Pelodiscus sinensis: one gene and its partners. The protein of the gene in region 2 purifies or fractionates together with the protein of the main gene of each other region. This does not show direct contact. Links are inferred from orthologs where the notes say so. Each region holds a gene or a part of one and is shown on either strand. Other genes may lie near its edges. The genes, in order: KSR1, MAP2K2 and KSR2.

Region 1 (10,829 bases), on a different chromosome or scaffold from region 2:
CCCTCTTTCTCCCTCTTTCTCTGCAGAGAATCCCAGAGGAGCTAACCCTTGATGCCTTACTGGATATGAACGAATCAAAGGTGAAAGAAACCATGAAGCGATGTGGGGCCAGTGATGAGGAATGTTCCAGACTCAATGGGGCTCTCACCTGCTTAAGGAAGGTGACTGAATCAGGTAGAGATTTCCTTGCTGTTTGATGGGATTAGTGGCAATGTTCCCTCATTTTGTCCCCATTCATGTGCGGAATAAACTTTGTTTTGTGCACAGAGACCTGTGTGAATGTGCATCATTGGAATCTGTCCTGGGTGGCCTCCCTTATGCTCAGGTGACAGGGAACCCTGATTAGTGGCTAATTAGACATTCGCACCACCCTCCGCCCCCCCCCTCCCCATTTTGTTTAATCTAAAAATCTTCTGGAGAATCTCTTGAGCTTATTCTGCTGGCAACATTTAAGGACCAAGTTTTTTGCTCTTGGATGCATGTGAGGTTCATATGATTAAAATGATCAGGAGCCACATACCCCTGGGAGGACAGGAAATGGCTCTCTGGGTGCATTCAGTTCTGGAAATGACTATAGAGCCACTTCTATCTCCGTAGACCTGCTCAGAAATCCGTTTAATGCCTGTGCTAACAGACTGTGCCTTCAGCTTAAAACTAGCACCCGCACACTGCTTTGGCACGTAGAACCTGGAGCATGTGAAGGTATCCTGATATTAGGGGCTTTGCCCACAGGGACTGGCTCCCACAGGCACTGGCTCCCAACCCTCGCCCTCTTCCTCCCTCTGATACAGAGACAGCAATGGGGGGAATTGTGTGTAGTTGTTTTGATTAACCGATAAGACCAGGCTTATTGGTTCGTCGTTTAAATGGCTATACACGAACATCCCTAGCAACTATTTAAAAAAATAGTGTCCCAGGGATTTTTTCATACTTGCAATCTCATGGCCCAAGCTGATCGCTATCTCGCTCATTAAGAACATATTCATTAGCAGGGTTGCAATTGCAGATCTGTATTGATGATGATGCCAGAGCCAGAAAGAACCTAGCATGACTTTCAGAGGGTAGGGAGGGGGGGAGTGTGTGGAAACATGAAGTAAACACCTTTCTGCAAACAGATTGGATCCTTTGTCAAGTCATAGCTAGTGGACTGTTTTTTCAAAGCCCTTTCTTAGAAAAGTGCTGTTCTTCAATGCACTGGCACTTTGTAGCTTTATGGAAAGCTGGGAGTGTTACTTGCAGCCAACTGTCATAATCAGCATCAGATCTTTCTTTGTAACAGTTACTGCTGTTGCTGGAAGGTGTCATTTCCTGTTGGTAATCTGACAGTTCATACCTCTGGCAAATCTAAGGACCTGCAAATGGAAAAGTTAGAGCAGAACTTGACTTCACGTTTCCTTTTCTTTTCTTTGCTTTTCTTTTTTTCCCCTTCTAATCTTTCCATTTTAGGTTGTCAAGTATTTTCCATCCATACTGTGACAAAAGAGCCATTACCTCTAGCTCAGGCAGTGCAGTTTCCTTTAAGCAGTGGCTCCTGACCAAAGTTCTAATTACTATGTTATCATTTGGCACGAGAGGTTGTTACTGGAGCAGAGGACGAGGAGCCAGGACTCTTGGGTTTGGTTCCCAGTTCTGCCACTGCTTGGCTGGTGTGATGTAAGGCAAGATGCTTGGCCTTGATCCATCAAGTCATTTAAACACATGCTGAACTTTAAGTTCGGGAGTTGTCCTATTGACACCTTGCGTGCTTAAAGTCGAGCCTGTGCGTAAACGTTTGGATGGACGTGGACCTTCTCCACCAAATGAGCCTGTGGCAAGTGAATAATACTTAGCACCTTACCAAATTCACAGCCACGTAGAGCCGTAGAACACGTCATGGACCATGACATCTGGCCTTGTGTGCTTTGTACCCTGTGCTATACAGATTTCACAGGGGAGACCAGCATTTCTCAAAATGGAGATCCTGACCCAAAGGGGAGTTGCTGGGGTGGGGGCATGGAATTGTACCCTTATTTCTTTGCTGCTTTCAGAGTTGGACAACTGGAGAGTGGTAGTAAGAATGTTGTCCGGGTGCCCAGCTCTGAAGGCAGCACCCTACCAGCAGCAGTGCAGAAATCAGGGTGGCCATACCATACCCGTGTCACCCTTCCGCACTGCTGCTTTCAGAGCTGGGTGGCCAGAGAATGGTGGCAGTTGACTAGCAGCACAGAAGGAAGGGTGGCAACACTACACCAGGTTGTCCTTATTTCTGCGCTGCTGCTGGTGGTAGCTCTGCCTTCAGAACTGGATTCCTGGCCAGTAGCCGCTGATCTCCAGCTGCCCAGCTCTGAAGGCAGTGCTACTGACGACAGCTGCGCAGAAGTGAGGGAAGCAGTGCCGCAACCCCTATAAAGTAATCTTGTGACCACCTCCTATGACTCCTTTTTGGGTCAGGGCCCTACAATGACCACACCCTGAAGTTTCAGATTTAAAAGCTGAAATCCTGAGATTTACCACTTAAAAAAATCCTATGACCGTGAAATTGACCAAAATGGATTGTGAATTTAATAGGGCTAGCCATGTGAAAGGTTAGCCGGTAAGCCAGGGTGATGCTTACTGGTTCTGGTTAACCGTGAACAGGCTGGAGCTGCTCCCCACCTGCCATGGGCAGAGGGCTGCTCCAGCCCTGCAGGGGGGCCGTCCGTTCAGAGCAACCCCTATCCACAGTAGGCTTGGGCATATTGCAGGCAGTGGCTGCTCCGGCTGGGCTGGATTTCCCCCCCCCCCCCCCCATCTTTAATAAGTTAACCAGTTAAACAATACACTTAACCAATTCAGTGGAATGGTTACATCCCTCCTAGGGCTCTAATAATACTCACCTGCCTCCTAAGGGGATGATGGAATTTAGTGGAGATCTTCAGCGGAGAGGCATTAGAGAAGGAAGTATTGTCCCTTCTGAGAGCTCACGTTACGAAAGACTCGACAGGTTCAGTCCCCTCCAGCCTACCCAGCAGATACTGGTGCTGATGAAATGAACGTTACTAGAATGTGTCAAAATGCTGGAATGTGAGGAGGAGCACTGCCCTTCTAACAGAGGCAGTTATGCCTTGATACTCTGGAGTGCCTGGTTTGTGATACGCTACAGACAGTGGCTAAGCACTACTGACGCATGGGGACAAGTGACAGGCAGAGACAACTTTTTTAAACATAATTTTTCTGGTTGGACACGACTCCCCCTTTCCCCCTCCCCAAGCCGTGGATGTGGGTTGGGGGGCTGTAATCTTTGATACAATCATCATTCAGACACATTTCTGCCTCTCTGATGTTAGGCCAGCTTTACAATGGCATCGAGTCATGTATAAATGTAGATAAATGCCTAGTGGGATTTACAGAAGTGACTAAGGGTGCATCTAGACTGCAGGGCTTAGCTCAATTTGCGCGGCTTATTTCGAGTTATCTCAATTGCATAGCTTATACCGAAACTGGGAGTGTCTCCACAGCACTTATTTCAAAATAAAACACTCTTCCTCCGACTTCCCTTGCTCCTCGTAAAATGAGGGTTACCGGAGTTGGAGTAAAGTCCTCCAGCTTGACAGTATGTCAACATTATTTCAAAGGAAGTGCCTGCTGTGTAGAGGCGGACTAAGTTATTTCGAGATAACGCTACTTCGAAATAACGTCGCTGTGCACACGTACCCTATGTGAATTAGGTGCCTAACCGCCAAAGACTTTCAATGTGAGTTAGACACCTAACTGACTTAACTCCTTTCAACAGTTTATGGCAGGTAGGTGCCTGTCTCAGTGGCACACTTCTTTAAATCCCACCAGGCAACTCTCTGCATCTCAGGTACCTAAAGAACTTGTAAATCTAGCCCCCAGCTGGTCATGCACCTTCTAGGAGGCAGGAGATTTATTTAGGTTTCGTAGCTCCTGGCTACCATTAGGAAAAGGGAACAGTTTTTGTTGCCGTCATTGGCAAGGAGTTTGAGCTGGCTGTTTAGAAGACTCTGAGGTATTGAACTAGTGGTCTGCCCAAGGAGAACCTCCTATTGTCCATAAGTCTCGTTGTGCTGATTTTCTGTCCATTGCTAACACTGAGACTGTTGCCGAACAGGTGGGGAGTTAAAAGAAGACCTGTTGTGGAATAATTCCGACGTGCGCCGAGAGAGAACCTCTGCTCACCCTGCAGAACCCCCCTGCCCACCAGGGCCTGTGTGGACTTCTAGTCTCCTGCATCTGTCGAAGGGCAACAGCCAGCAGGCCCGCTCTGTGTCGGTGTCCGCTATCGCTTCTTCGGAGTCTCTCGCCTCGAGCCATGGACCTTCTAACTATGCAGATAACTTCTTGGAACCGTTAGCGTACCCGAGCCACAGTGGCCACGTGGTATTTAGGACTCCTCACAGCATCACCATCACGCCGCCAACGACACCTCAGTTAAAAACGCGGCACAAATTGAAACCCCCACGGACTCCCCCTCCGCCTAGCCGGAAGGTTTTTCAGCTGCTACCAAACTTTCCAACCCTCACAAGAAGCAAGTCCCACGAATCACAGCTGGGCAACAGAATAGATGAAGTCCCTCCTCTAAAGTAAGCCTGGGATTTTCCAACTTCTTCTTAGTGGAGTGGGAATTGGGGGTGGGGAGGGTTCTTTTACACTCTGGGCTCTTTTTTGGGAGAGGTGTGGGGGGAGGGAGGGCTGCATGCATCGTTCCAGTTCCCATTTCTCAGATTACAAAATAACCAGGAAGTTTTGGAGACCACCTAGACCTGTTGTAAAGTAGAACGTAGCCGTCTGTTTTGATGAAGGCTCGCTGCTGAAACGTATGCTTGGTAGAAACACTCTGCCACTGTTACATGAGGCTAACAGTCTAGTAGGCCCAGTCCATGACACCTTTGTACCACTGTCACTATGGGCAGTGGGTGAAGGCCCAGGTGGGGAAGGCAAGCCCCAGCCCTTCCCTTTTTACCCATGCCACACCCCTTCTCCTGAGACTATGCCCCTTCGCCCCCCAGTCAAGCCTTGCTCAACGCCAGCTGTGGATGGGGGCTGCCGTGCCACGTGGCCCCAGCCCCTCCCAGCCAGCTGGGCAGCGTAGGAAATTCTGGGAAGGCAATGCCTTCCCTTGCTTACATTACCTGCCACCCATGGCCGTCCCATCCACGCTCTCAAATCAAACTGGGTTGGATCACTATGGACTCAGATTTGACAGAGGGTGGTGACTGGTTGTGGTGCTACTCTTCCCTTGGAATCCATGTTGGTGAACTCCCTTTCCCAACATTCATGGGCGTTTGCACTTATGACATTTTTCAGATCACACCTACTCTAGATTTAGATTTAGATAGCTTGCTGTTACTAGGGATACCAGTGGTCTTTTTTTGTGCAAGAGCCCCCTGCCCGATTCCATGTATAGCAACTTGATACACAGTGTAGTTGGCTATTGTGTCTTTCGCTCCTTGTTCTAAGCTGGGTTAAGTATTGCTGAGGCTTTTAAACAGCTGCATCTCTGTGACGGAAGAAATGAGATCTGGATGTAGTTCTGTGTATCCATTTAGGGCTTGCGAGATGCTTTGTAGGTATTTTGGGATGAAAGATGTTCTGTTAATGCAGCATTTGCTTATTTTTGGAAATGAGCATGAGCCAAGCACCCTGGTAAGTCAGAGTAGTCCTGGCTTTTGGGGAAGCTCAGATCAGGAGCCAAAGTTTGCAACTAGCATTAAACCAATGCCACTTAGCTGGCCCTTCTGCCCCTTTGAAGGAGTTGTCCAGCTAGGACCTGGCTTTACTGAAGGCTTGTACAAAGGAGTTGTTTGTTTATGAGCTGCTTTAGTGGTGAGTAAGGCAGTTGCACACCCTTTTATATGAAAGGGAGGGAAGGAAAGTTACCATAGTTAGTTATGGTTACCGATGACTATGGAAGAGTTAAGAACAAAACCACATGTGACAAATACAAATTCTGCTTCGCTTTCAAACCGAAGTGCGAATGAAGCGTGTGCTGGATTAGAGAGGTTCATCCTCTCTACAAACTGATTTCCGCAATGAGGGAGAGGTATTCCCTTGAGTCGAAAAGAGGTGTAGCTGGCTACAGATCTTTTGCTTTAAATCTAGTGGTGAAATCCTGGTCTTACTGAAGTCCGTGATAAAACTGCTGACTTCCGGAGGGCCCAAAGTCTGTTTGGGTGGCCAGGGTAGCACTTCATTGTTGTTGAGATTTTAATGGATCAAAATGGCCCTGCTCATCCTCCACATGAATTTGTATAGCTCCATGTGCTCTCTTTGTTTGGCGTGGAATGTATAAATGATAGAATTTACACCTCAGCAGCAGGGAGGGGGAGGGCTTTCAACAGAGCCTAAGGGATTTAGACTCCCACATGATTTGAATACCTAACTCCCTGAAATTCCTTTGACAATCCCGGTCATTGACTATCCTCCACTTTCACATAGTGTGTGCGTGCGCACGGGGATCTCTGTCCAGTGAATTATATCATTCATGTACACAATAAGGTGTACAAAATATTGCATATGCAAGTGCAAAGATGCCTTTGGGGGGAAAAACAGAGGCCATGTTTTGAAAATAGAGCCTTAAAGGTTGTAATGAGGGCTCTGCACTTAAGAGAGAAGTTTAGCTCATCTGTCACATGATCATTTGTGTTGAAAATTGTTTTGTTTTTTTTTTCTTTTTGTCTTCTAGGCTTGGTAAGAAACAGATTTTTTGGGGGGCAGTCTTCGCATCGTTGCCTGCGGGGAAAAGAATGTCTTATCATTGTGGCACCAGTATGGTCCTGTTTTTATGCTAACTTTTTGGAAGTCCTCCATGTCGAGCAGTTGTTAACGTTGGCAGACATTTCCTAGCATGAGCGCTGCAAGATCAGTCCTCATTTGTTAACACGAATAGAGCAACAAAAAGAAACCTTGATACTGTAGGGATTGGACCTGCATTGAAGGTGGTTTTGTTTAAAATTTCTCCCGTCTTTCCACACTCTTGGTATCAACATATGTTGGTATTTAAAAGCTCTAAGTACACAACCGACCATTCAGCATCAGTACATACCATTACCAGATCCTTCTATGTAGCACAAAGTTTCTTAAATTTCACATAGCCTTGGCTTTAGGGATCATGCAATGCCTGTATCTGCAACATGGGGCTTTGTGAGTAAAATGTAATGGTTGCTTAAGGCTTAGCTGTGCAAGGTGCAGAGTATGCCTGCTCTAACCCAGCAAAACACGGGCTCATGCTTAGCTTTATGCACACAGTCAGTCCCACTGGAGTCAACAGGGCTAGTCAGATGCTTAAAATGAAACATAGGCTGATGTTTTTCAGCATTGGGAGCAGTGAACTCAGCAGCTGTCACAATCAAACTCCTAGCACTTGAACTGTGGTATGCTATGGTGTGACAGCAGTGGTCGGACAATACACGTCTGCCATGCACCACTGCCTTCATCATAAAGCTAAAACAGAAAACCCCTTGTCCTTTAAAATGTGTTAGCTTTACTGTAAAAAATAAAACTAAGACTTTCATGTGCACTATATGGGTGGGTAGGTATTTATAAAGCATAACTGCTTTAAAAGAGAACCCTAGAAGTTACTTTCCCAAAAATAAATGGTTGCTAGTTCATAGCGGCTTCAGCTCGTGCCCAGATTGCTTTTCTTGGCGCAGCCTGGCCCTAGGTCTTCAGATGCTACAGGCAGGTGACATTGGTCAGTGGCCCCTTCCTAAGGGACATAGCTGCAAAAGGTAGGTGTTTGCAGAACCGGGGAGGACAGAGGGAGGGAATTTTCATTCACCGTCCCGTAGGTGTTTCCCAGGAAATCCACTTCACATGCGTTGTCCCAAAAGTCCATTCATATCCGCTGCACTGTTCGGTATAGATCTTTCATCGACCAGGCCACAATTATTTAATCTGATGATGCCAAAGATACCGACGCTGAATTTAAGGAGGCGTTTCAGGGATCTGGCAGGAACTAATTGCCATATCAATCACACAAGCTGCTTTTTCTAAAATCATGGCTATCCATCAAGCACGGTCTGTAAAATTGGACAACATAGGTACTGTAGGGTCCATCTAAGCAGCCCGCAGCAGCAAGCCTCCCAGCCCAGATCAGTAGACCACAGCTAGTGGGGCTAATGCTCTACAACTAGCTGTGCACACAGGGCTCTGGCACTGTGGCTAGGGCTGCAGTTTGGGCTGTTTTTTAAGCACTAGTGCATGTTCCGCAGCCCCAGTCTCTGGACCCAGGCTGGGAGACTTGCTGCCAGCTGGGTAGAGAGAGGGTGGAACATTTCTGTGATGTATCAATAAAGGATCTGCTGCCATCTAGGGACAGAATGGGAAATGGGTGTTCAGAAGTATTGGCACGATGCATCGGGAGCTGTGCATTCGGTGTGAGGCCCATCTGTGGGGTACTGAAATATCAGCATCCTGGAAAAGCTGGCAGAATAGAAATAAAACTCTAGTGGAAGCAGCATTGCCTACTAGGTAGAGCACTGGACTGGGACTTGTGAAACAAAGCCTGGTTTCCCTGGCTCTGCCACTGGCCAGCTGAATGACCTTGGGCAAGGCACTTCGCCTCTCTGTGGTCAGTGCCCTAACTGCAAGATGGGGATAATGATTCTGATCTCCTCTGTAAAGTCCTTAGTGATGGACTGGTGCAAAGCCTACCTAAGAGCTGGGCGGTAATAGTCATAACCAAGCATTATTTGGTGGTCCCCTTCCAGATCAAGGCTGCCCTCCTAAGCAGGCATTTGAAGCTGGTTTAAAATTGGGACTCCCCTGCCCCGCCCCCGAAACCCTGTTTTTGTTCCTTTTGTTTTCTTAATAACATTTTCTTGCTACTATAGGGCTAGACTTGTGTAACCTTTATTGCTGCTGGAGACATAATAAGACTACTTGTGTGAGTGAGTCGGTGCTCCTCAGAGCAAGTAAGCATTGCCCAGACCTACCCCATAGTACTCAACGGGACAGGATGTATTTCAGCCTTGTGTTTGATTTGCCTTAAAATGCTAGCAAGCTGATGGGAAATGCGAACCATCCACCAAGCCGTGCAAATATTTATTAGCATGTCTGATGGGGCCTCCTTTAAGGGGTGCTGCATTTGTAAGATGGGTGGACTTTCCCCATCTCTAGTCGTGATCTTGTAATAATAATTTGTTTTCCCCTACTAATAAGTTCTATAAATCTGCACACTCCTACTAAATGTAGAGCAGGAAACCATTTACAGCTTATATTGGTTCCACACACGATGAAAAGAGCAGCTTCTGGGCAATGTTCCTGCTCATCTTTTTCAATCCACGCACGGATGTGTTTTTTTTTATCCGTGTGCAGAATAAATGTATGTGCACTGAAGCGTGTGTGAATGTGCACTACCAACAGAAACAAAACCTCACTTTGGGTGCTCTGCTGATCAGCTAGGTGGCATTGGAATCTCCTGAGTGGCCTCATGGTTACCCAGCTGACAGGGAACATTGATCCTGGGGCATGTGAGCTATTGCCATGATTTGAAACACTAAGGCCTAAGGGCAAGCGACTTAGTTTCTCAGTTCCCATTGAACTCAATAGCTGCTGGGGGCCTGACGAGGGGGGGGAGGAGGTGCATTACTGATCTCTTGTGCAAACACAGGTGTAGTTGGGCTCTCTTGGTGGCATTTGCTGCTCATTGTTCCCTTAGAAATGAGATTTTCATGTGCAAATTTCCCTTTAGATTTCTGAAATGCTCACAAGTTAAGGGCGGTTTGGTTTTTTTTGTGGCTAACATGTAATTTGTTCTCCCCACATCAGATCTCCCCCAGGCATCCCCTCAGGCAGGACGAAGAGACATCGGCTTATCAGTAACACACAGGTAAACACCACCACCCAAGGCAGCAGGAGTCACGAAGGAAATGAAATGGCTGTTGCTTTAATGGGCGCCATCACCTTTTAGAACAGTTTATAGCTGGGGCTAATCTGAAGCTAGGTCTACACTGAGTGTTTTATGTGGAAGAGGAAATGCAAATGGAGCACTCGTTTGCATATCTTGAGCTCTCATTTGCATATCTTCTTCCGGTCCTTTTTGCGGAAGAGGTTTTTGTGATAACAAGCCCTGTATAGACGGGGTCATTTTGGGGGGGGGGGGGAATCCTTTTGCACAAGAGTGCCTTATTCCTCAAAAAATGAGGTTTACAGGCACTTGCTCAAAAGAGGTTTTTTTCTGACAAATGGCCCCCTCTACATGGGGCTTTTTGACGCAAAAACCTCTTCTGCAAAAAGGACCGGAAGAAGATATTCAAATGAGAGCACAAGATATGCAAACAAGTGCTGTAAACTGTCTGTCGTTAACCAGCAGTGTTTCGGTGACTGATTTTCTGTTGAACTAGCCCCAATATGACACTTTCCCTTCTTCTGTTCAGATTCTCTACAAAATCTTGGTTATCTCAGATGTGCCACGTGTGTCAAAAAAGCATGATGTTCGGTGTGAAGTGTAAGTACTGCAGGTGAGCACAGACCGCTGGTCCTTACTGAAGGATGCTTCGTTATCGATGTATTATTTGTTCTCTGAGATGTATTGGCTTTGTTTATTAGTTTGTTAGAACTTTGGGCCCTGATTCTGCCCTGGGGTCCTTTAATGTAGAGAATCGTGGAGGGAGGGAAACCATGATCCACTGATTAGGGTGGTATCTTGAGACATGGGATACCCTCGTTCCATTCCTTGCTCTGCCACAGGCTCCCTAAGTTACCTCGGTCAAGTCACTTATCTGTGCTTCATTTTTCTCAACTGGAAAGGGAGGTGAATAGCACCGCCTTACTCTCACAAAACTCATGTGAGATAAATGCATAGAAAACAATGTCGTGTTCAGATATTACAGTAAAGGGGCTATAGA
Region 2 (10,399 bases):
CATGCTGCCCAGGGGGTGGCAGGCTTAGCAACTGATCCTGATTGTGCCTCTGAGCATGGAAGCCAAGTGGGGAATCTACAAGCATCCCCCCTAGCTGAGCCCGGCCGTCGTCACCCGTCTCCGGCAATGGGAGGCCCAGGCTGGGTTTCCCACTGGCCGAGGGAGGGATCCCGAAGCCCAGATGAGTAAGAAACCTTGTGACTGGGGCATGGCCCCGGAGCCAGCGCTGGGGAGGGGCAAGGCGCTGAGTGAGACGCAAGGTCGGCCTCTAGCACTGTTATCTCATTGCACAACATCTCCTGATTAGCCAGCTGGGGCTGTTCCAGGAGGAGTGGAGGGACCTCGAGTTTGTGGATGTCCCAGGGAGGTGCGGAGCCGTGCGCAGGATTGGGCCTTGAGGGTGCAGGGCGCCTGAATCCCAATGGCCACGCTCCGGTAAACACAATGGGGCTTGCCTGCTAGGCCCCTACTTGACAGGAGAGTGAGATGAGCGGATCCCCTCACCCCCAAGCCCCACTGATCCCAGGGACGCTCCAGACTGCCTCTGTCCAGAAGCAGGGCCCAGTCAAACACGGCAGGGAGGGCGGAAGGCTAACCAGGGTCTAGCAGAAGTCAGGGCTCCCAAGAGGGAATACGGAGTCTCAGGCTGCTCTGTTGAGCAACACTCCCGGGGGCACACGAAGCTCCCCGCTGCCACAGCGAGATAGGGCTCTACTGCTGCTTAGTGGGCAGGTTCTCCCCCACCCACCCCGCACACTGCAGGGGCCTGGGAACAGGGGGTCTGCAGCTGGTGGTAGAAGAGCGCTTGGGCAAAAGCACGGACCCCAAACAGCCTCCAAAGCAGACGGTTGCCCCCGCGCCGCTCTTCAAGGGGAATCGGAGGCCAAAGCCCACACAGTGCCTGAACCGACGCTGGGGAGGCAAAAAGAGGAAGTGGTGATTTTTTTTTTAACCCTCCTCCCCCTGCCACCCCACCCTGGTGCTGTTAGCTCCGGGTGATGCAATAGACTGGAGCAAGCTCCTTCATTGAGCAATGTTCTCAGGTGTGTGATTTTGTGGCGGGGTCACTGGAGCCAGGGGGCTGTGCTGGCAGGTTGCAGCTTCACATTCTGCAGGAGGCAGCCTGGGGGGATGGCTGAGAACGACCCGTAGAGCCTTGGGACCTGGAACCTAAGGGCAGCAGGGAGCGGCTAAACCCAGGCTGCCGGGGGCATCCCCATCCAGCCAAGTTTGCTGGAGCAGCCAGTGAAGAGACAGCCTGCCCCTGCCATCCTGGGTGTGATGGGGAGCCCAGCACGTGCTGGACAGAGCTCGGGGCATTCCGAATGGCTGGGTGGCCAACCCACAACTCCCTGCCTCCTTAAAGTTCATGCCGTAAGTCACTGGAAGGGGAAAGGTCTTTTTGATTCAAGAGCCCGTGCCATTGCTTGCAAGATATGAATGGTTCAATGTGGGGATGTAATACGGTAATCGTTTAAACGGTTAGCCAGTAAGCCTGGGCTTATCGGTGACTAATGGTTACACTCTTGCTCCTGACCCGGGCCTGCAGGCAGGAGCTGAGAAGCCGGCCTCTTGTAACCGTATAATGGCTAAGTTTTTCAGCAGTTACTCAGTTACCCAATTAACAGCTTTTTAACATCCTAAGTTAAATGCAGCCCCTTAGCCACAGGCAATTCTATTCTGTCTCCCTACTGCCCTCATAAAGCATCAAGTGGCTACGGCTTTCTCCTTCACTTCCTTTCCTGACCTCTTTTGTAGCATTGCTGTGTGCTGTTCTACAGTGTCTGCGTCCCACCCCAGAGGTGGCTGCCTTTCAGCAGTTTGCACAACTCCCTGAGTTCCTGAGCACAGTTGAGGCCATCTGACAGCTGAAGAGTCCAGCAGACGCAGGCCAATGCAGCCCCAATTCACCAAGTTCCTGATTATCCAAAGGTTTGTGTCATTCCCCCAACAAACTGTCAAACTTCTATTGTTGTTCATGTTTACTTTTGCAGGTCCCCTGCCCCAGCTATAAGAGTATCCAAGGTGCTTTGTAGTAAAGAGACCTAAAGGTAAAGGGGGAAAGAAGCAGGATAAGGCAGAGCAAGCATGGGGAAGAAGCAAAGCAGGGGCAGAGACGGCGGGGCCTAGGGCGGAGGGGAGGTTGTCCTGATTCTTCCCCAAACTGGGGGTCACATGGCAGGAACCCCCCACCCGGATTCCCCTCACCACTTACCTCGAATTCATCTCCTGTCATCCAGTCCCACCGTCTGGCAGGCAGAGATTTAGGAGCACCCAGGACATGGGGTTGTGACCTTGACCATCTTGGCTCACTCCATTGCTGGACCAATTTTCCAGGAATTTATCTAGTTCTTTTCTGAACTCAGTTGTGCTTTTGGCCTTCACAAGCCCCTGGCAGCAAGTGTCCCAGGTTGGCTGTGTATGGTGTGAAGAAGCATTCCTTTTCATTAGTTTTACGCCTCCTGCCTTGTCCCATCATGGGGTGACCCCTGGTCCTTGTGTTATGCAAAGTGGTAAATAACTCTCCCCTATTCATTTTCTCCAAACCATTCCCGATCTTCTAGATCAGTGTTTCCCAATTGGTGCTCTGGGAACCCTGGGGATCCGCGAAGAGAAAGCAAGGGTTCTGCAAACAGCCGGCACTCCCCCGCCCCCTGTTAAAGAGACAGAGCCATGGCAAAGGCTTTTTTTTTTTTCTTCTTCTCAACAAAATGTGGCAGGGGCCTTTTTTTTTTTTTTTTTTTAAGGCAACTCTAGGGGTTCCGTGGCCAAATAAAATTGTGAAACACTGTTCTAGATAGACCAGTGTTTCTCAACCAGTGATATGAGTCCCCTTAGGGGTACTTGAAAGTAGTCTGGGGGGGCATGTCAACACAACTGAAATTTGGAGAAAACTGAATTTAGCTCTTTCCTGAGTGGCAACAGCTAATCGGGCCTCCATCCTTTTGTACGCACACTTGGGATTCAGTCTTCCAGAGTGTGTTACTGCTCATTTATCAACCTTGAATTCCCTCCACCATCATGTTGGAGTCGGGAGCTCACAGAGGGGCTGTGATAGTAACTGGGTGAAGAAAAGTGGGAAAATGGCTTGTGTGGGGCGTCTTTTTTGGGGGGGTCACGCCCTGTCTGTCAAAGTTGACGCTGGTAATTCAGCCTCCTGGCACTTGTACCAACCTAGTTATCAGGGTTTGCTGGGATAAGGAATGCAGTTGATTTTAATTGCTCACATGTAATTAGGCAACTGAACATTGCCCTTTGATCAACGAAGCAATGCCATCTCATCAGCTCCACAACCAAATCAGATTGGAGGGAGGGGGGTTCCGATTGATTAGTCCAGGCCTGGGTGGCAATTGAAGGGGGGTTGAATTGGGAAAAGAGGAGGAAGAACTACTTGGTGCCACAAGCATGTGATTTAAGGCATTAGCTGATCACTAGCCCATTTTGGTCAATTTCACAGGCGCAGGATTTTAAAAATTGTTTGTTTCATGATTTCAGCTATTTAAATCTGAAATTCCATGGTCTTGCTTCTGAGCTGCTAAGTCACCACTCTCCAGCTGCCCAACTCTGAAGGCAGCAATGCAGAAGTGAAGTGGCATAGTGTGGTGTTGCCACACTTACTTCCGGAAAATCCATGACTCCCCAGAAATAACCTTGTGACGCCCCTCCAACTGCCTTTTGGGTCAGGCCCCCGCCCCTGTTGAGAAACGCTGGCCTTCCTCATGAAATCTGTATCCTACAGAATAAAAGCACACTAAAGGTCAGATTTTCTGGGAAGAGACCAGATGTTATGATCCATAACACATTTTTCATGGCTGTGAATTTGGTATGGCCCTAGTCATGAGGGAATCGATTTGTGGTTATGATTCATATACAATGAGTGATATTTTATCACATATTTACCTAGATTTCTAATTCAGCCAACACCCTGGTATGTGCACCCTACTGGGATAAAAATCAGGCACAGTAGAGTTACTGGTCTTCTGCAGCATCCAGAATCAGTGGCAGAATATGATCTAGAAGGAGCATCAGCCCTTAGTCCCCTGAACTAACTGCAGTATTGTCTCTTTGATTTCACTCTCTCACACTGGTAACAATTTATACACTAATCCAGTTAGTTCTCCTAAAGGCTGAGGAGGAAAAAAGAGAGAATGTTCTTGTTCTGTTTGAAAGCCGGTTGGAAGTGCGCCCATGCTCTAGGCAGGGAGCCATGTGAGGGCCTAGGCAGACAGAAAGGTGGATCTCCCTGCATCCTTCCACCTTCTCCGAAACATGTATGGTTTATTATCGATGAGAGCTCCTGAGAATCTACATGATGAAAACTACAGTTACAGAACACCCTTATTCCCAGCTAATAACTCTGCAAAACCCCAGGCTTCCCACTCCCACCATCCTTCTGTCCACCCGTCCTACCCTCCCCAACCCCATCCCTCCACCCCCTCCCATCCCATCCCTCCTTCCTCTCATCCCTCCCCCCACCCCCTCATCCCTCCTCACCCCACACCTCCACCCCCTCCCATTCCTCCTTCCTCTCATCCCTCCACCCCCATCCCTCCTCCCACACCTCCACCCCCTTCATCCCTCCTTCCTCTCATCCCCCCACCCCCTCATCCCCCCCACACCTCCACCCCCCTCATCCCTCCTTCCTCTCATCCCCCACCCCCTCATCCCTCCCCCCACACCTCCACCCCCCTCATCCCTCCTTCCTCTCATCCCCCCACCCCCTCATCCCCCCCCCACACCTCCACCCCCCTCATCCCTCCTTCCTCTCATCCCCCACCCCCTCATCCCTCCCCCCACACCTCCACCCCCCTCATCCCTCCTTCCTCTCATCCCCCCACCCCCTCATCCCCCCCCACACCTCCACCCCCCTCATCCCTCCTTCCTCTCATCCCCCACCCCCTCATCCCTCCCCCCACACCTCCACCCCCCTCATCCCTCCTTCCCCTCATCCCCCCACCCCCTCATCCCTCCCCCCCACACCTCCACCCCCTCCCATCCCTCCTTCCTCTCATCCCTCCCCCCTCATCCCTCCTCCCCACACCTCCACCCCCTCCCATTCCTCCTTCCTCTCATCCCTCCTCCCCCTCCCACTAGCTCCCCCTTCTTTCCCTCCCAAGCGCCTCTCCCTGCGCGTCCCCGCTGAGCGCGCGCCCGGCGACCGCAGCCCTGCCCGGGGGCCGCGCCTGGCGGCCGGGCGCGCGCTCTCGCGAGACTCCGCGGCGGGAGCGCCCGCCCCTCCCCGCCCTGCTCGCGCCCGCCCAGCCCCGCCCGCCTGCGCTGCAGCCCGGCCCCGCGCGCTGACTCCCTCCGGCCTGCGCTGCCCCTGCCCGGCCAGGCCGCAAAGCCCCGGGCTCGCGTAGTGCGGCTCGCCGAGCCCCGCGGGGGAGCGCGGCCCGGGCCGGGCCATGCGGCGGCGCCCCCGCTAGGCCCGCCCCGCCCCGCCCGGCCATGCCGGCCAAGAGGAAGCCGGTGCTGCCGGCCCTGACCATCACCCCGACCATCGCCGAGGGCCCGAGCCCGGACGGCTCCTCCGAGTGAGTGCGGGGGGGGCCGGGGGGGGATGAAAGAGCCCTGGGGGGGGGCGGGGGGAGCCAGCCCGGGCCGGGGGGGGCGAAGGGAGAGAGGGGGGTGCCTAGCGGGGCGGGGGGAGCCAGCCCGGGCCGGGGGGGCGAAGGGAGAGAGGGGGGTGCCTAGCGGGGCGGGGGGGGATGAAAGAGCCCGGGCCGGGGGGGGCGAAGGGAGAGAGGGGGGTGCCTAGCGGGGCGGGGGGGGGATGAAAGAGCCCGGGGGGGGGAAGGGCCGGGGGGAGTGGGGGGTACTAAGCGGGGCCGGGGGGGGGTGAAAGAACCCTGGGGGGGCGAAGGGAGAGGAAGGGGGGTGCCAAGCGGGGCTGGGGGGGTGAAAGCCCAGGGTGGGGGGGCGGGGGGGAGGGAGAAGGAGGAAGGGAGAGGCGGGGGAGGGGGTGCCTAGCGGGGTGGGGGGGGGGAATGAAAGAGCCCTGGGGAGGGCGCCAGGCCCCGGGGAGGCAGGGGCTGCCAAGCTGGGCCAGGAAGCCCAAGGTGGACGGGCAGAGGCGGGTGAGGACTCGGGACCGGGAATGGGGCTTGGTCCAGGTGGTGCCCCCCGGGAGCGAAGGGCGGAGGTGGGGCAGGACCTGCCGGACTAAAGGAGCAGCAGCTCACTTGGCAGTGGGGGGATGAGAGAGGGGTTGCCCCCAGGGGACAAGGGAGGTGGCCCGGGTTAGGCCCGGAGGCCTCCAGGCCCATGCTACCTTGAGACAAAGGCACCCGGGGGTGTATGTGAGAGATTATGCTGGGGTCTGTGGGGTGCTGTGGGGCGAGGGGTTGTAGATGGGGTGGGTGGACTGGAGACAGAAAGGGGGCTCGGAGATGCTGAGTTTTGGGGGGTGGGTTAGGGCAGTCCCTGTAAAGCAGTTGTCACCAACAAGTAGATCGGGATCTACCATTAGATCTTGGAGCCTCTGACAGGTGATTCTGACTGGTTTGGCCAGGAAGCTATAAAGCACTTCAGTTGCTCCTCTGCCCACTGTGTGTGGGAGGGAGAAGAGGGGGGCATTGATGTTCGGGTGTCTTCCCTCTCCCCCCACTTCTGTACCCCACCTCCACACAGAGAGAAGGGAATGGAGGGATCTTGGCAGTGCAAATCTGTCACACACTGTGTGTGTCTCTCATTCTCACAAACACACGCTGTCCTTCACTCTCATCTGCTGACCCAACACACACATGGGGGGGGGGGGGTTGTTACTTCTTTTACTGCTTGCAAAGTGGGTTATTTTTTGTTTTTGACTGGTCTGTGCATTTCATAATTTTCATTTCTCTCACACTTAAATTTAATTCTTTGAGTAGTGAGTTTTAAAATGCCTCACCTGTCCTGTCTGAAGTAATATTATCCCCGTAGTAATTGCTGCTCCTGGAAGTGGCTGGCATGTCCCTGCAGCCCATGAGAAAGGCAGAGCTGGGGGTTGCCCTATGCTGTCCTTGCCTGCAGACACCACTCCTGCAGCTCCCATTGATCAATAATGGGGAACTGTGACCAGTAGAAGCCGTGGGCTTAGTGCCTGTAGATGAGGGGCAGCATATGGTACCATGGGTCCATTGCTGTGTATGCCAGCTGCTTTCAGGAGTGGTGCAGGCCCAGGGCAGGCATAAGCCGCCTTAACCCCACTGCTCCACCACCTGGAAGCGTTCTCAGGTAAACGGTGCCCAGCCAGAGCCTGCTTCCTGAACCCCTGTCCCAGCCCTGAACCGCCTCCTATAGCCAGCCTCCTGCTCCAGACGTGAGTCCCCTTGCACCAAACTCCTTCCCAGAGCTTGCACCCTGAAACTCTTTCTGGACCCCAATCCCCCACTCAGCTAAGCCTGGAGCCCCTCCCAAACTCCAAGCCCAAGACCAGAGCCTGCACCCCAGCCCCCTGTTCCAGCCTGGTGAAAGTGAGTGAGGATGGAGGAAGAAGGGCAATGGAGTGAGCAGGGTGAGGCCTTGGAGGAAAGGTGGGAAAGAAACAGGGCAAGGGTATTTGGGTTTGAGGTAGATCTTACATTGCACTTGCATTGAAAAAGTGATCTTGTGGTTAAAAAGATTGGAGACCACTGCAGTGAAGAGTCACCTCTCCCAAGCGCTTGGAGCACTACCCAGTTCTTCACCATAAGCAGTCCCCTGTGAATGTAAAGTTAGGAAACAAACCTGGGGGAGTAGCAGGGGGGGGGGAGCATCTGCCAGGAAGAGGAGGCGGGCTCTGTGTAGGAGGGTTGGCAGGTTGATAATAAAAAGCACCCTCTGAAAAAAAGGGTGTTCATTAAAATTGTGGATCCAAGGGCTGGGGTGGCTTTTGAAGGGGAAATAGGCCCAGCAGCGTGGAGCTATCACACTGATGGTCCAGTTTTCTGCTGTCCAAAGATACCCCAATCAGGGCTCCAAAAGATAGGTGGCGTCGGAGCATAAATACCCCATTGTGCTTGGATAATAGATAGGCATCATGTTTGGGCAGGGTGGTGAGGGGTGTAGTGTTTTAAGCTGTAGGATTTGCATAGCTACATGGAAAGCCTGTCTCATATTACTTAGTGGACTGCCCAGCTGTATCCCTGGATTCAGAAAGGGGAGCGGCTGCTGGCACAGCCAATGCTCCTCTCCCTGCTGTAAGGTTTTAATGATTCCCTTTGGTTTCATAGTTTTGCTTGAGTGACTGAATGTAAAAAATGTATCTCTGTGAGGGAATCTGTGCTTCTGGGAAGATGCTGCATCATTTATCTCCAATACAGCACTTGTGTCCCTGTCAGTAGGGCTTTCCCCTTCTCTTCTTTCTTCCCGCTGGCAGTGCTGAAGGGGTTCAGTATGAATGATATGTGGGACTTCTTGTATTCTACTGGGCCTCATGGGGCACCTCCTTGCTCTGCACTTGTTCCCTGGGCGGTAACCTCTCTCTTATCCCTCCATTGCCAATTGAACTCCTGTTCCTTTATGCCCAGCAGGTTCTGCCCACACCCCCACAGTTTTGCCATCTCCTCTGGAGGAAGGGACACGTATCTCTGCCAAAGACAAAATTCGAACAGGCTCTCATAGTTTGTCTTTCTCCTCCCTGTTTTTCTTCAGGGCTAACCTGGTAGATCTTCAGAAGAAGCTGGAGGAATTGGAACTGGATGAGCAGCAAAAGAAGAGGTTAGAGGCTTTCCTCACCCAGAAAGCCAAGGTTGGGGAGCTGAAAGATGACGACTTTGAGAGGATCTCCGAGCTGGGAGCTGGTAATGGTGGGGTAGTCACCAAAGTGCAGCACAAACCCTCAGGACTCATTATGGCACGAAAGGTAAAAGACAGGAGGCAGACGTATTTTTTTTCTTATGCTTGTGTTGGCCTACACAGGAGAGAGGTTGTAATAGAAAGTCACCCTGTTACCCTATAAGAAAAGCAGTATTTTGCTTAGCCTATCCCTTCTGCTTCCTTAAATGAATTCCATACTGGTAAAGGGTGCCTTATTAGGAGCTCTGGAGACCAAGTCTCCTCAAGATCCTTAGAACAAGTATCTCAGGCAGCCACGCTAGTCTTTGCTCTGTGCTTCAACTCTGATCTGGAACATCCTCCCCTTGCAGGGAGAAGAGAGTTTAGTCTCCTTAGCCTTTCTGATGAAACTACCAACAACTGTGACTCTTGTGATATGGACACCTGTTCACTAGCAAATGGATTGAAATTCCTCAAATTCATTATGCATGAGCACGCGTCCTCAGTTGATACTGACTTTCTACCACTTGTGATCGAATCTGGATTTGAAAGATGGGTTTCTTCCATTATTAATCCTCTGAGCAATTCAAAGTTGCATTTTATGTCAAATCCTAAATACTGTTTAGAGCACACTCATGCTTTATTTTTTCAAATCCTAAATACTGTTTAGAGCACACTCATGCTTTATTTTTCCATTAGCTCAGCTCTTAATCAACTCGACTAAATTGATTGAGGTTTGTGGGAAAGTTGTACGCTTTTCAGGTGCAAGTTGTAGGTAACAGAGAGAAAATGTGTGGCAGAATCTGCAGAAAGACACTTTGCTAGTAGAGGAAAGGTCATTTAATCATTTTCAGCAACAGAGCCCCAGAGATCCTTCTGCCATAAGAGAAACCCTCCAGCATTGTACCTGGAACAGTGCTGCGAGGAGCCTTTTGCGTTTGTCTTGAAACTTACTGTCCCAAACACACAAGTTGTTCACCTAATGATGCCCGATAATGGAAATCAGTAATTGACCCGTCTGTCAAGAAAAGGCAGACTTCTTCAGAGAGAACAAGTCAGATTTCTGACTGTTCAAATCCAGTTATGTGACTTAACTTGAAACTCTTATTGGGATGAACTTTTAAAAGCAACAGGTAAAATTCTATGGGTCTGATGAGCAAATCTATAGAGCGGTAATACCCATATAGTCTTCCACAGTAGCATTGTTAAACTGGTCCTACATGGAGTCCTCTGTTTCTTAATTTTCAAGCAACTCCCTCTTAGTGTCCCTGTTTTGTTCTTTCCTGGTCTCCTTGGTATTGAGACACCCTGCGTAGTGCCTGCAGAGCTGGCTTTTTCACGTGATAAACATTTACTGTGCTGGGAGCCATCTGTGTGCCCAGCTTGCTACGTTGGTGTTCTGACTTACCCTGTATTATCAGTACGGGGGTGACTAGTATGCTCAGTTACATTCTGTGCAGCCTGCAGAATGCAAGAATAGTTGTCCAGCAAGCCTCACCACTTAGGCTGGTAATGGTAGGGAGAACAGCTCTCACCAGCACAGGGACAAGTGGAGCTCTCTCAACCCCTTTTGCTTCTCGCTTCCAAACTGGAGCTCTATGTTCTTGTAGCTGTTCCTTGAGTCTGGCTTGATTTTTTTTTTTCAGCTGATTCACTTAGAAATTAA
Region 3 (10,076 bases), on a different chromosome or scaffold from region 2:
ACATGCCAGATAGAGCTGTCGGCTAGCTCCCACAGCAAAGAGCCACAAATTTTAAAAGTCAAAAGGAATCATTATGACCCTCTAGACCAATCTCCTGTATAACACAAGCCACAGGTATGGCCTGGGCAGAGAAGTGTGCACTCCTCCACACCAACATGCTGCGGAGCCAATTTTGAGAAATCAACCCTAAATAGCAGGGGATAGGATAGGTAATGCCCTTGGCTTCTCCCCTAAAAGCCAACTGCAGGTGCCAGTTATGACTGAATTATCTGACATGCATGCTAACAGCTTCCACTCATCCCAGCCTATGCCAGCTTTCACCAGAATCTCCTCTCGCAAAAACCGGACCATATGATTACCATGTTTCATCAGCAACTACCGTATTTTCCGGCGTATAGGGCGACTGGGTGTATAAGACGACCCCCTATCTTTTTAATTAAAAGATAGGGTTTCATCTTATACCCCAGCGCCCCTCCGCCTCCTTTGCTCCCGGTGTCCCTGGTCTGCTGGAGATGGTCCCCAGCAGACCAGAGGCACCGGGAGCAAAGCCGCCAGGAGCACCTGGGCTCCCCCCCCCCCACCGCCGGAGCCCCTCCGCGGCTTTGAAAGCCTCGGGGGAAGCCGGCGGGGGGGCATCCCAGGCGCGCATGGGCTGCCCCCCCGCCGGAGCCCCTCCGCGGCTTTGAAAGCCTCGGGAGAAGCCGGCGGGGGGGCATCCCAGGCGCGCATGGGCTGCCCCCCCGCCGGAGCCCCTCCGCGGCTTTGAAAGCCTCGGGGGAAGCCGGCGGGGGGGCATCCCAGGCGCGCATGGGCTGCCCCCCCGCCGGAGCCCCTCCGCAGCTTTGAAAGCCTCGGGGGAAGCCGGCGGGGGGGCATCCTAGGCGCGCATGGGCTGCCCCCCCGCCGGAGCCCCTCCGCGGCTTTGAAAGCCTCGGGGGAAGCCGGCGGGGGGGCATCCCAGGCGCGCATGGGCTGCCCCCCTGCCGGAGCCCCCCCGCCGGCTTCTCCCGAGGCTTTCGAAGCCGCGGAGGGGCTCCGGCAGGGGGGCAGCCCATGCGCGCCTGGGATGCCCCGCCGCCGGCTTCCCCCGAGGCTTTCAAAGCCGCGGAGGGGCTCCGGCGGCGGGGCATCCGGCGTACAAGACGACCCCCGATTTTTGGGGGATGTTTTTTAACATCAGAGGTCGTCTTGTACGCCGGAATATACGGTACAGGTTGAACCTCTCTAGTCCAGAACCATCCGGTCCAGAACCATCCATCGTCTAGAATGATTTTAATTAGCAGGATGTCCACTTTTCATGGATGTGGCCAAGTTTTCCATAGTCTCATGAAGTTTGTTTACAACCACCTGTCCTTGCTTTCAGTGTTCTGTGCTGTTATTTAGCTCTAATTTACCCTTAAATGTCACTGAACAACCCAGTAAGCAGTGGAAGTGTTAGTAATGCTGCTAGACAATATTGACCTCCCATAGTCCAGCAAATTCTCTGATTCGGAACTGGTCAGGTCCTGCAGGTACCAGACTAGAGAGGCCCTGACCATAAATGTTCTTCATCTTAATTTGCTATTTAAATAGCAAAGTATAGACCAGCTCTGGGCAATAACTTGGTAAAAATACCATAGTTGGATTCCCTAGGGCAGGGTTACTCAATACGGGACCCGCAAGCCACATGCACCACAGCCCGTTTGTTTGTGGCTCACAGTGCGGTTTGAGCTGACATGTTTTAGTAGTTAAATTTCTGGACAGTTGTGAAGATAAAACAAACAAGTAGTCAATAGAATGGTCTTCTGTTGAGTTAAATTCCTGGACTGTCATTGCTCATTAAAAGTGCTGTCATATGGATGGAAATTGCGTAAATATTTCATTTTATTAAAATCAGCAGAACAGACTTAAATGGGGCCTGTGTGTTGTTTAGTCTTGCCTTAATCTTTGTATTCATACCCGTCCGTGTAAAAGAAGCTATTTGCATATATATGCAACCACGCTTAAGTTGTGGCCCTTGGAATGTGCTGTATCATTGTAGCCCCTGGGGCTTCCGAAGTTGACTACTCAACACATGGCCACAGCATGGTCCTAGCCCCCTGCTTCCTCACCAGACTGTCTCAGCCAGCCCTGCCCACCGGAGCAGCCGCTTGCTGCCCAGGTTCTGCTGCGCGGCTCTCCAGAGGAGGTAGGCAGGAGAATAATTTTTTTGTGCATGGCTGCGCAGGTGCACACCTTATTGGGAACTGTGATTACAACCTCCCTTTCGATGGGGTGCCCAGAGAGACGGAGCCTCCCCAAGAATAGGCACTACTGGCCAGGAATGCACTGATTCAACACAACCCTATTCCAGCCTCCACTAACAAGGCTCCTAGGAAGCTCCAAAATGAAACTAAAGATGCCTCTGAAGACACTCCAAGAGACAGTGGGGATACCATCCCTCCGGGCAAATCTCCATTTCAGAGCCTGGGCTCAGGCAGGTGTAGCTTGCACTTCCACAATAGAATTTGGACTTCAGTGTTTGCACTGGGGGCTCACATAAAGCATGCTGGGTGTCCCTCTGTAAGAGAACAAGGGTTCACCACTGCCTTCTGGTAGAGAGAGAGACCATTTTCTACTATTTCCTCTTTTAGTGAAGTGAAAAATCATCACGTCCCTCCCAGACGTGTGGAACTGCCCATTGCCATGAACTTGGAGCCACTTTATGGACTTGGACAAGGGAGCTGGATGGCTTTAGGAGCTTGTTAATGGCACACAGCGCTTTTCACCTCTGCAGCATAGATTCTGTGCCCTCCAGCTACCTAAACAAACTCTATCCTGGCTGTCCGAACTGCCCAAAGAGACACAGTAATTAAAGTGGCTATTTAGGTGTTGAGGTGTCTAACTTTAGGCTTCCAGGTTAGAAAACCTGTTAGATAAAAAATGCAGTAAGTTTCTAGTACACATAGTATAAAAAAAAGCGATGAGAGGCAGTAAATCCCCAATGAGCAACAGCCACGTGACCAAGTTAAACAACTCCTTTTCGCCTCCTTTCTCCAGCAGCATTTACCCCATGTTATGACACAGTCATTTGCTTAGTTCCATGCTCCACAGCCAATTTTCAGCTGATTTGCATCTTCCACATAAAACAGATTGATGATAAAGTCCTCAGGGGTTCTTTACCTTTTGCACATTGGGATTCTTCTTCTCCCAGGTAGGCACCCCAGATTGAGAACCCCTGCCCCAGCAGACTTTGGGGATTCTCTGACATCTGTTTAAATAAAGTCTCCCTTCTGTTTAAAGGCACATCCACACATTCAAATCCTGAAACTGGCAAACATCTAATTATCTTTGAAAGAGAATCTATTTACCTGCAGATGATTGGCTAAGTGGCTAGTCCTTGTCCATTTCTAACTTCTATGGAAACTGCTCTGTGATTTTTTATTTATATTTCTTCCACCTTTTTCTTTTTAAAAACATCATTAAGCTGAGACTTCTTGTGCTAAATTTCAACTGGGGGGGGGGGGACATGAGTGGAAGGAGGAAGGAGTTAAAACAGCAAGCTAGAAACCCACACGGAAAGGGGAGCCCCAGGCTAATGTATCTTTTTCAAACACAGTTCTTTCACTGAGGTGGAGCTGGCAGAAGCACTGTCCCCTCTCTCCACCCTACCCCTCCCGCATTACAGGCCCCAGTTTAGCTGTATTGGGGTTTCAAGTCTAAGATATATGGTGACACAACCTTCTCTACAGCAATGATGCTAGAATAAAATGCAGCAGGGTCTGTCACCAGCACATTGCCAGATGTGGAAGGCTTCAGGCCTCAGAGTCCTTTTAAAATCTCCTCACCTCCACCTTTACAAGTGGAGAGTGAGGACAAGCACCCTGGTGGCATACATGACAACTGCATGTTGTCCCACCTTATTACCATCCCAGCCCCTGGGAACTCAACCTGCCTCCTCTTAGCCCCTTTTCCTCTGCTTCCATCAGAGCTGCCATTACTACTGGCAAGCACCACCCAGTGCACATTACCCAGTCCAATTAACGCCGTGAGGTTCCGTCTTTTCCCCCTAGCCCTCCTGGTATTTAAAATGAATCTCCAGTGCGTACATGCAAGTTATTTTTAACTCCTCATGATCACTCCTTTGCAAACCTGGCCTTTACAAACTGCTACCCAAGCCCTCTCTCTAGGTCTCCTGTAATATACACAGGGCTGTTGAAAAGAAGCTGTAGATCTCCTTGTATGCATGAAGCCAAAAGATCTGTTTGATTAATGCAAGATTAGAAAGATTCACAGCTGCATCACTTGCGGGCTCCCAAGAGGGGATCCCCAGTACCTCCATTCAATGGGGCAAGATTGATTTATATTTAAGCATGCAAATTGTTCATTGCACATGAAGGGAAATTGTCCACCCAGAGATCTGTGGTTTGCAATGCAAAACTGAATGCCTGCCTCCTGACATTAAAAAAAAATCAGAGGAGTATAGGGGAAAGAGCTATTTATAGGCAGCCACATTTTATGTGCAAGAACCACCTTTTGGCCACCTGCAGCACGCGCAGGCTCATTTGAGCTCACTGCAGCTCCTTAATTTATTACACTGCACACAAGCCCCCATTGTATATAAACAAATACACTGTCGGGGAGGGGGGACCTACCTCCCTTGCAAAGGCTCACAGCAAAATAAAGGCAACTGAAAAAGTAGACCGGGTTTGCCAGATTGCAGAAACATACAAAATCATGCATATTTTCTCTCCCCCCCCCCCCCCAACACACAACTATATTCGAGGGAGTGGGGGAGGGGAGAGAGCGTTTGAAATGCTCCCTCTGCATGTTTGCAAAGGTAAAACCTACCTCTAAGGTTCTGATCTCTTTTTGCGTCAGGTCGTTGGAAGTGGCACATTTGGTCCGGAGCCCCTCCAGGTTGGAGATGCTGATATCAATCATGTTCTGGACCAGCTCGCACTGCTGCAAGGCTTTCTGCAAACTCAGATGCTGCTGCTCTTCGCTTTTCGTCATGTTTTCCTCATCCATAGCTCGCTTTGCAGCCCCCTCCTCCTTCTCCTCCTCCCAGATCAAAGGGATGGTGGTATCCCACTCCCCCCCCAACCACCCCCACCCCCTGCTCCTTCCCACCCCCACCCCTCCAGTCCTCAACAATGCAACGTGAAAGGAGCCAGCATCTTTCCACCGGAGACAACAAGCCTCCCCCGATCCCCCCCCAACAAAAATAAATAGCGAGCGTGGATCTGATTGTGTCAAGCAGCCTCCATTCGAGTGTCCTCTCCCCTGTGAGTGCCTCCTCCGGAGGGGTGGGGGGAGAGCGCGCCAGTGAGATGCTGGGAGCCGGAGCACCCCAGGTAGTAGGGCTGATGCTGTGTGTGTGCACTCAGGAGCCGCTCTGTTTACACACCAGCTCCATGCAGGATTTGGGGGGGGCGTTTCTTTCTGCTCACCGAGGTTTGCCCCTTGCCTTGAGGGGCTTGCATTGTCCACCTCGTGCGGGAGGCGGTGGAGGTAGGGGGGCGGTGTGCATTAACGGCTCCTCCAAGATGCTGCCTGCATTGCCTCCTGCTCTGATGCTGCTGCTGCCTGGCGCCCGTGCAGGCTGCTGCATCCCCTTCTGCCTGGCTCCCACACCGACATCTTGCCTGTCAATCAGGGCGGCGCGCGCCGGTCCCCGGGAGAGGCGCGAGCCCGTAGTGCGCGCGAGCCGGGTTCGCTAGGCGAGGGGCGCGCGGAGATTCCCGGAGCAAGAGCGTGTGTGTGGGGGGGGGAGGTGTTTGCAATGGGTCTGGGGCAGGGATGTAGCAGGGGCACCCCAGGGTGGTTGTGGGGGAGAAGTGCAGCAAGGCACCCCAAGGTAGATGTGGAGGATAGTACTTGACAGGCACAGTAGTGGCACCCAGGGTAGGTATTGGGGATGGTGCTGAAGAGGCAACCCTCATCATTAAGCTGAAGAATTTTAAGTGCCAGTCCAACATCTTGAAAAGCAAAAGATGTCAATATTTTGGGGTCATAGTCAGGTGGCACTTGACCAAGATTCCTGCCTGAATTTGGTCTGCTAATGGGATCATTAGCTTCCCTGACCTGGGCCAGGTACAGATGGGGAGTACTGATCCACTGACTGACTGCGCAATTGCCCTGTCTTTCCAAATGGGGTTTTCTTAAGACTTGCAATTTACATGTGGTCATCTTCAGACTTTGTCACATATCCTTGACAAGGTCCACTGACTTACTTCCATGGTGGGTTACTGGCTGATGATGATGCTATCAAATAGCTATAGCAGGAGTACAAGAGAATGGGGAATACTGTAGGGCCACCTTTGGCTCCCATTTTTGTCTATGGAGATCAGGATTTGGCCCATAATTAAGTGATTATTTCCAAATGGCAAAAAAAAAAAAAACAACCCGACCCTCTAAGCATCATATTCATGCTTGCTGCAAATTGTCTCCCCCCCCCCACACACACACACACAAACAGTTACTCCCTGTCTGCTTGGATTTCATGCGAGTTACTGTATTAGAAATGCTATTCTTGGTTGCCACATATTCAGTGCACATATGCTGAGGGGTCTCTTATGAGCCTGGCTGCGGTGTTGTATAGGTCTTGTGAATAGGCTCCCTTTATTTAAAAAAAATACTAGAGTACTCCATGGTAATGGTCCCAGAAGCAGCAGTCTTACCTTTGCAAGCTCTAGTATTACATCTAGTTTAGCTTATAAACTTGCAGGGATCTTGTCTTCACTCAGTAATAACAATTAAAGTGTAATGGTACCTAAGAAGCATCCCATGTATTCCAACTATTACTGTAGTTTTCCCATGTGTTTTTCTCCCCAATACTCCCTGTTTGGGAGTTGTTTACAGAACAATTGAAGAGACAATACCACCTAATTTTAGGTGCATAATTTAGATATTTTAGAAACACATTTTCTAAAAATGTAAAAATAAACAGGGGGATAGAAAGAGTATTATTATTGTCTAGTGTCAGTAATATGCCTAGGAATTAAAAGATACATTTGAAGGATCAAGTCCTGTGTTTATTAGCAAACCAAAGACCCACTAGCTTCAGTAAGTGGAATGTGCAGGGATTTCAGAATTTGGGCTGTACATTTTTGATGGAGAGTGTCCCTTTCAACATAGCAGAAATAGAAGCATTGTCAACAGAAAGATGGATGTGCAGTAATCATCACCTGTTCCCTTACTAACCAGGCTTACAGTAAGCTGGCTGCATAGCTGGACAGACAATAGCAACAGTTTCAAAAGCTCCTTTATTCTTAACTCCCTTATCACCTTTATTCAAGGGGGAATTAATATTGTTCAATTACATTCTAAAATCTTGTTTGGTTTACTAATTTGCATGGGCAAATCAAAGTGATTGGGGAAATCAGTGAGATGAAGGTAAACAGGATAAAGCCGTATAGCAGGAGTACAAGAGAATGGGGAACACTGTAGGGCCAGCTTTTGCTCCCATTATTGTCTGTGGAGATCAGGATTTGGCCCATAATCAAGTGATTATTTCCAAATAGCGCAAAAAAAAAAAAAGAACCTCTAAGCATCATATTCATGCTTGCTGCAAATTGTCTCCCCCTCACACACACACACACACACACACACACACACACACACACACACACACACACACACACACATACACTCAGTTACTCCCTGTCTGCTTGGATTTCATGTGAGTTACTGTATTAGAAATGCTATTCTTGGTTGCCACAATAGTATTTTAAATGCCAGCATCTTTGTACATGTAACTTCAGGAAAATTTGGCTCTAATGCTGTAATGGACAGGAGGAGTGCTGACCAGCACCTGGTGACTAAGGGGTTAAACTCAGGTAGCTAGCAAAGAGGTTGGCAGGGAGCCAGCGAACCAATGGGCATACGGGGTTGAAATTTGAATTGTATAAGATTCCTTGCCAGCTTTCTTTGTGTGGTAGACAAAAACCAGGAGTTGAGAGACACAGAGGGTATGTCTACACTACAGAGTTTTGTCGGAAAAAATGGCTGTTTCTTCGATAAAACCTGAGTTATGTCCACACTGCAATCGCGCTCTTCCGAAAGAAAATGGAAAGAACAGAGTGGTTTTTCCAACATTGGTAATCCTCTTTCTATGAGGAAGAAGCCTTTTTCCAAAAGAGCTCTTTCGGAAAAAGGTGTGTGTGGATGGGAAAGAGGGAGTTTTTCTGAAAGAAGAGGAAAGAGGAAAAAGCACAGGTGTCCTGGTAGCCACTCCGTCCATAGTAATCACAGCTTAAATGCGAGACAACGTCCATCCAGTGTGGACGCTATTTTTTGAAAAAGAAGATCACTTTTTCAATGTGCTTTAGTGTATGGACGCTCTCTTTCGGAAGAAGTTTTCTTGGAAGATCTCTTCCAAAAAGAGGTTCTTCCGAAAAAAGCCTGCAGTCTAGACATAGCCAGAATGATTTAAACCCAGGCAGGACTAACATGTCAAGGAATTCCAAGCATGGAAGTGGGCTGACCCAAGGAAAGATTGGAAGTAAGTAAAGGGAAAAAGTGGATCTAGTCTTGATCAGGGTATTTTTCTTTATTTTGCAGTTTGGTTTGAACTGCTCTGTGTGAATCTATGCTTCCCCTCCCCAATTACCATCTAGCATTGTTCCCAGAGGTTTTCTTCTGTGTTTTAATTAGTTTTCCTTAGTTGCTCTGTAACATCTAACAACCAAGTATGCTTTATCAAGTTAAACTTTTGTTTTGTAATAAAAATCACTTTTTTTAAGGTGATGATTTGATTCTTGTGTCCTGGAAGGAACAGGAAGTCTGTCTGTCTGCCTCAGACTGAGAGGTCAGCTACCAGAGACTGCAGCTTGTTTATCTCTTTTCTTTTTTCAAGCTCTTTTAGGGCAAAAGAGCTTGGGGTCCCCTGGGAGGTGGGTTCAAGTGCTCACCGCTGGTTTTAGGGATAAAATCACTTGATGGTGGAATCTTGTTTGTTTATTTCTCAGAGTCAGGGAATCCGTGACTCTGGCGAGTTTTTATAAGCAGAGCCTAGATGTAGAGGCAAAGGGTTTTTTTCTTTTCTTTTTGAACTCTTTGTGGGTCCCCACATTCTACACTCAGAGAAGCAGAGTGGGAAACAGCCCTGACAAATGCTAAAAAGGTTTGAATATTGATGCACATTGATTCTCATGTTATTAAACAAATTTAATTTATAGGTAGTAATTGACATCTCATGCCAAGCTTCCTTTTCACCCATGCAAAGGAACATCAGTTTCATTATCCCCATTTTACAAAGAGGTAACTGAGACATAGAGGCTATGTCTAGACTGCATTGCTTTTTCAAGATACCAGAGATATCCCAAAAAGCAACGCCACATCCAAGGAACACTTCCACTTTTTCAAAACAATTTAGAAAAAGCGGGTGTGCTCTTTCGCCATCCCTGTAAACATTGTTTTACGAGGAATAAGGGATGTGTTGAAAGAGCACTTTCTTTCAAAATTTGGTGCCGTGTAGACACGCCAAATTTCAAAAGAGCCTCTTTCGAAAATAAATTTGGATGAAGATACACAATTTGCGGTACACAAATTGTGTATCTTTTTCCAATTTAACATTGTAGTGTAGACCTAGCTGGAGAGTCTAAGTGACTTGCCCAAGTTCACATATCAGACCCATGTCAGAACCCAAGCCTTGGCTTATCCCAGCCCAATCACAGCTATCTATGATTAAATGCAATTGCTGAGTTCCATTCATCACAACTCATGCAGGAAAAACTACCTCTGTCTATGGAAGATTTGCCTGACTCAGGAATGCTAGATTAGACCAACTTTAAACTCTGGCCAGAGCAGCTAAATTTTGGCTATAGATCTGGGTATCAAGTAGACAATATAAATCAATCTATGGGTATGTCTACCCTGCAGTGCTATTTCGGGATACTCCCAGAATCCCGAAATTGCTGTTCCATGTCTTGAAAGCGTTCCCATTATTTCAAAATATCTTTCTAAATAACAGGTGCTCTATTCCACGAGAATTAAGGGACATTTCAGAATAGCCATTTATTTCAAAATTTGGCACTGTGTTGATAGCACCAAATTATGAAATAAGCTATTTTGAAATACACTTGAAATAAGCTACGTAATTTGTGTAGCTCAAA

What was found.
Region 1: the proteins of MAP2K2 (region 2) and KSR1 purify together in Homo sapiens (affinity purification with mass spectrometry; 4 studies listed by BioGRID and IntAct, with this or other methods). This does not show direct contact. The link is inferred for Pelodiscus sinensis from reciprocal best matches to the Homo sapiens genes MAP2K2 and KSR1.
Region 3: the proteins of MAP2K2 (region 2) and KSR2 purify together in Homo sapiens (affinity purification with mass spectrometry; 3 studies listed by BioGRID and IntAct, with this or other methods). This does not show direct contact. The link is inferred for Pelodiscus sinensis from reciprocal best matches to the Homo sapiens genes MAP2K2 and KSR2.

The regions. Positions count from the first base shown.
Region 1 is NC_134731.1:10,837,208-10,848,036, forward strand, and holds the start of KSR1 (kinase suppressor of Ras 1), read left to right. Parts: upstream 1-6,767; 5' UTR 6,768-8,894; exon of another isoform or gene 8,895-9,750; 5' UTR 9,751-9,811; intron 9,812-10,358; 5' UTR 10,359-10,386; coding exon 10,387-10,442; intron 10,443-10,829.
Region 2 is NC_134729.1:22,173,862-22,184,260, reverse strand, and holds the start of MAP2K2 (dual specificity mitogen-activated protein kinase kinase 2), read left to right. Parts: upstream 1-5,263; 5' UTR 5,264-5,448; coding exon 5,449-5,534; intron 5,535-8,610; coding exon 8,611-8,821; intron 8,822-10,379; coding exon 10,380-10,399. UniProt on the Homo sapiens protein: Catalyzes the concomitant phosphorylation of a threonine and a tyrosine residue in a Thr-Glu-Tyr sequence located in MAP kinases. Activates the ERK1 and ERK2 MAP kinases.
Region 3 is NC_134725.1:11,016,966-11,027,041, reverse strand, and holds the start of KSR2 (kinase suppressor of Ras 2), read right to left. Parts: upstream 5,018-10,076; 5' UTR 4,990-5,017; coding exon 4,810-4,989; intron 1-4,809. UniProt on the Homo sapiens protein: Location-regulated scaffold connecting MEK to RAF. Has very low protein kinase activity and can phosphorylate MAP2K1 at several Ser and Thr residues with very low efficiency (in vitro).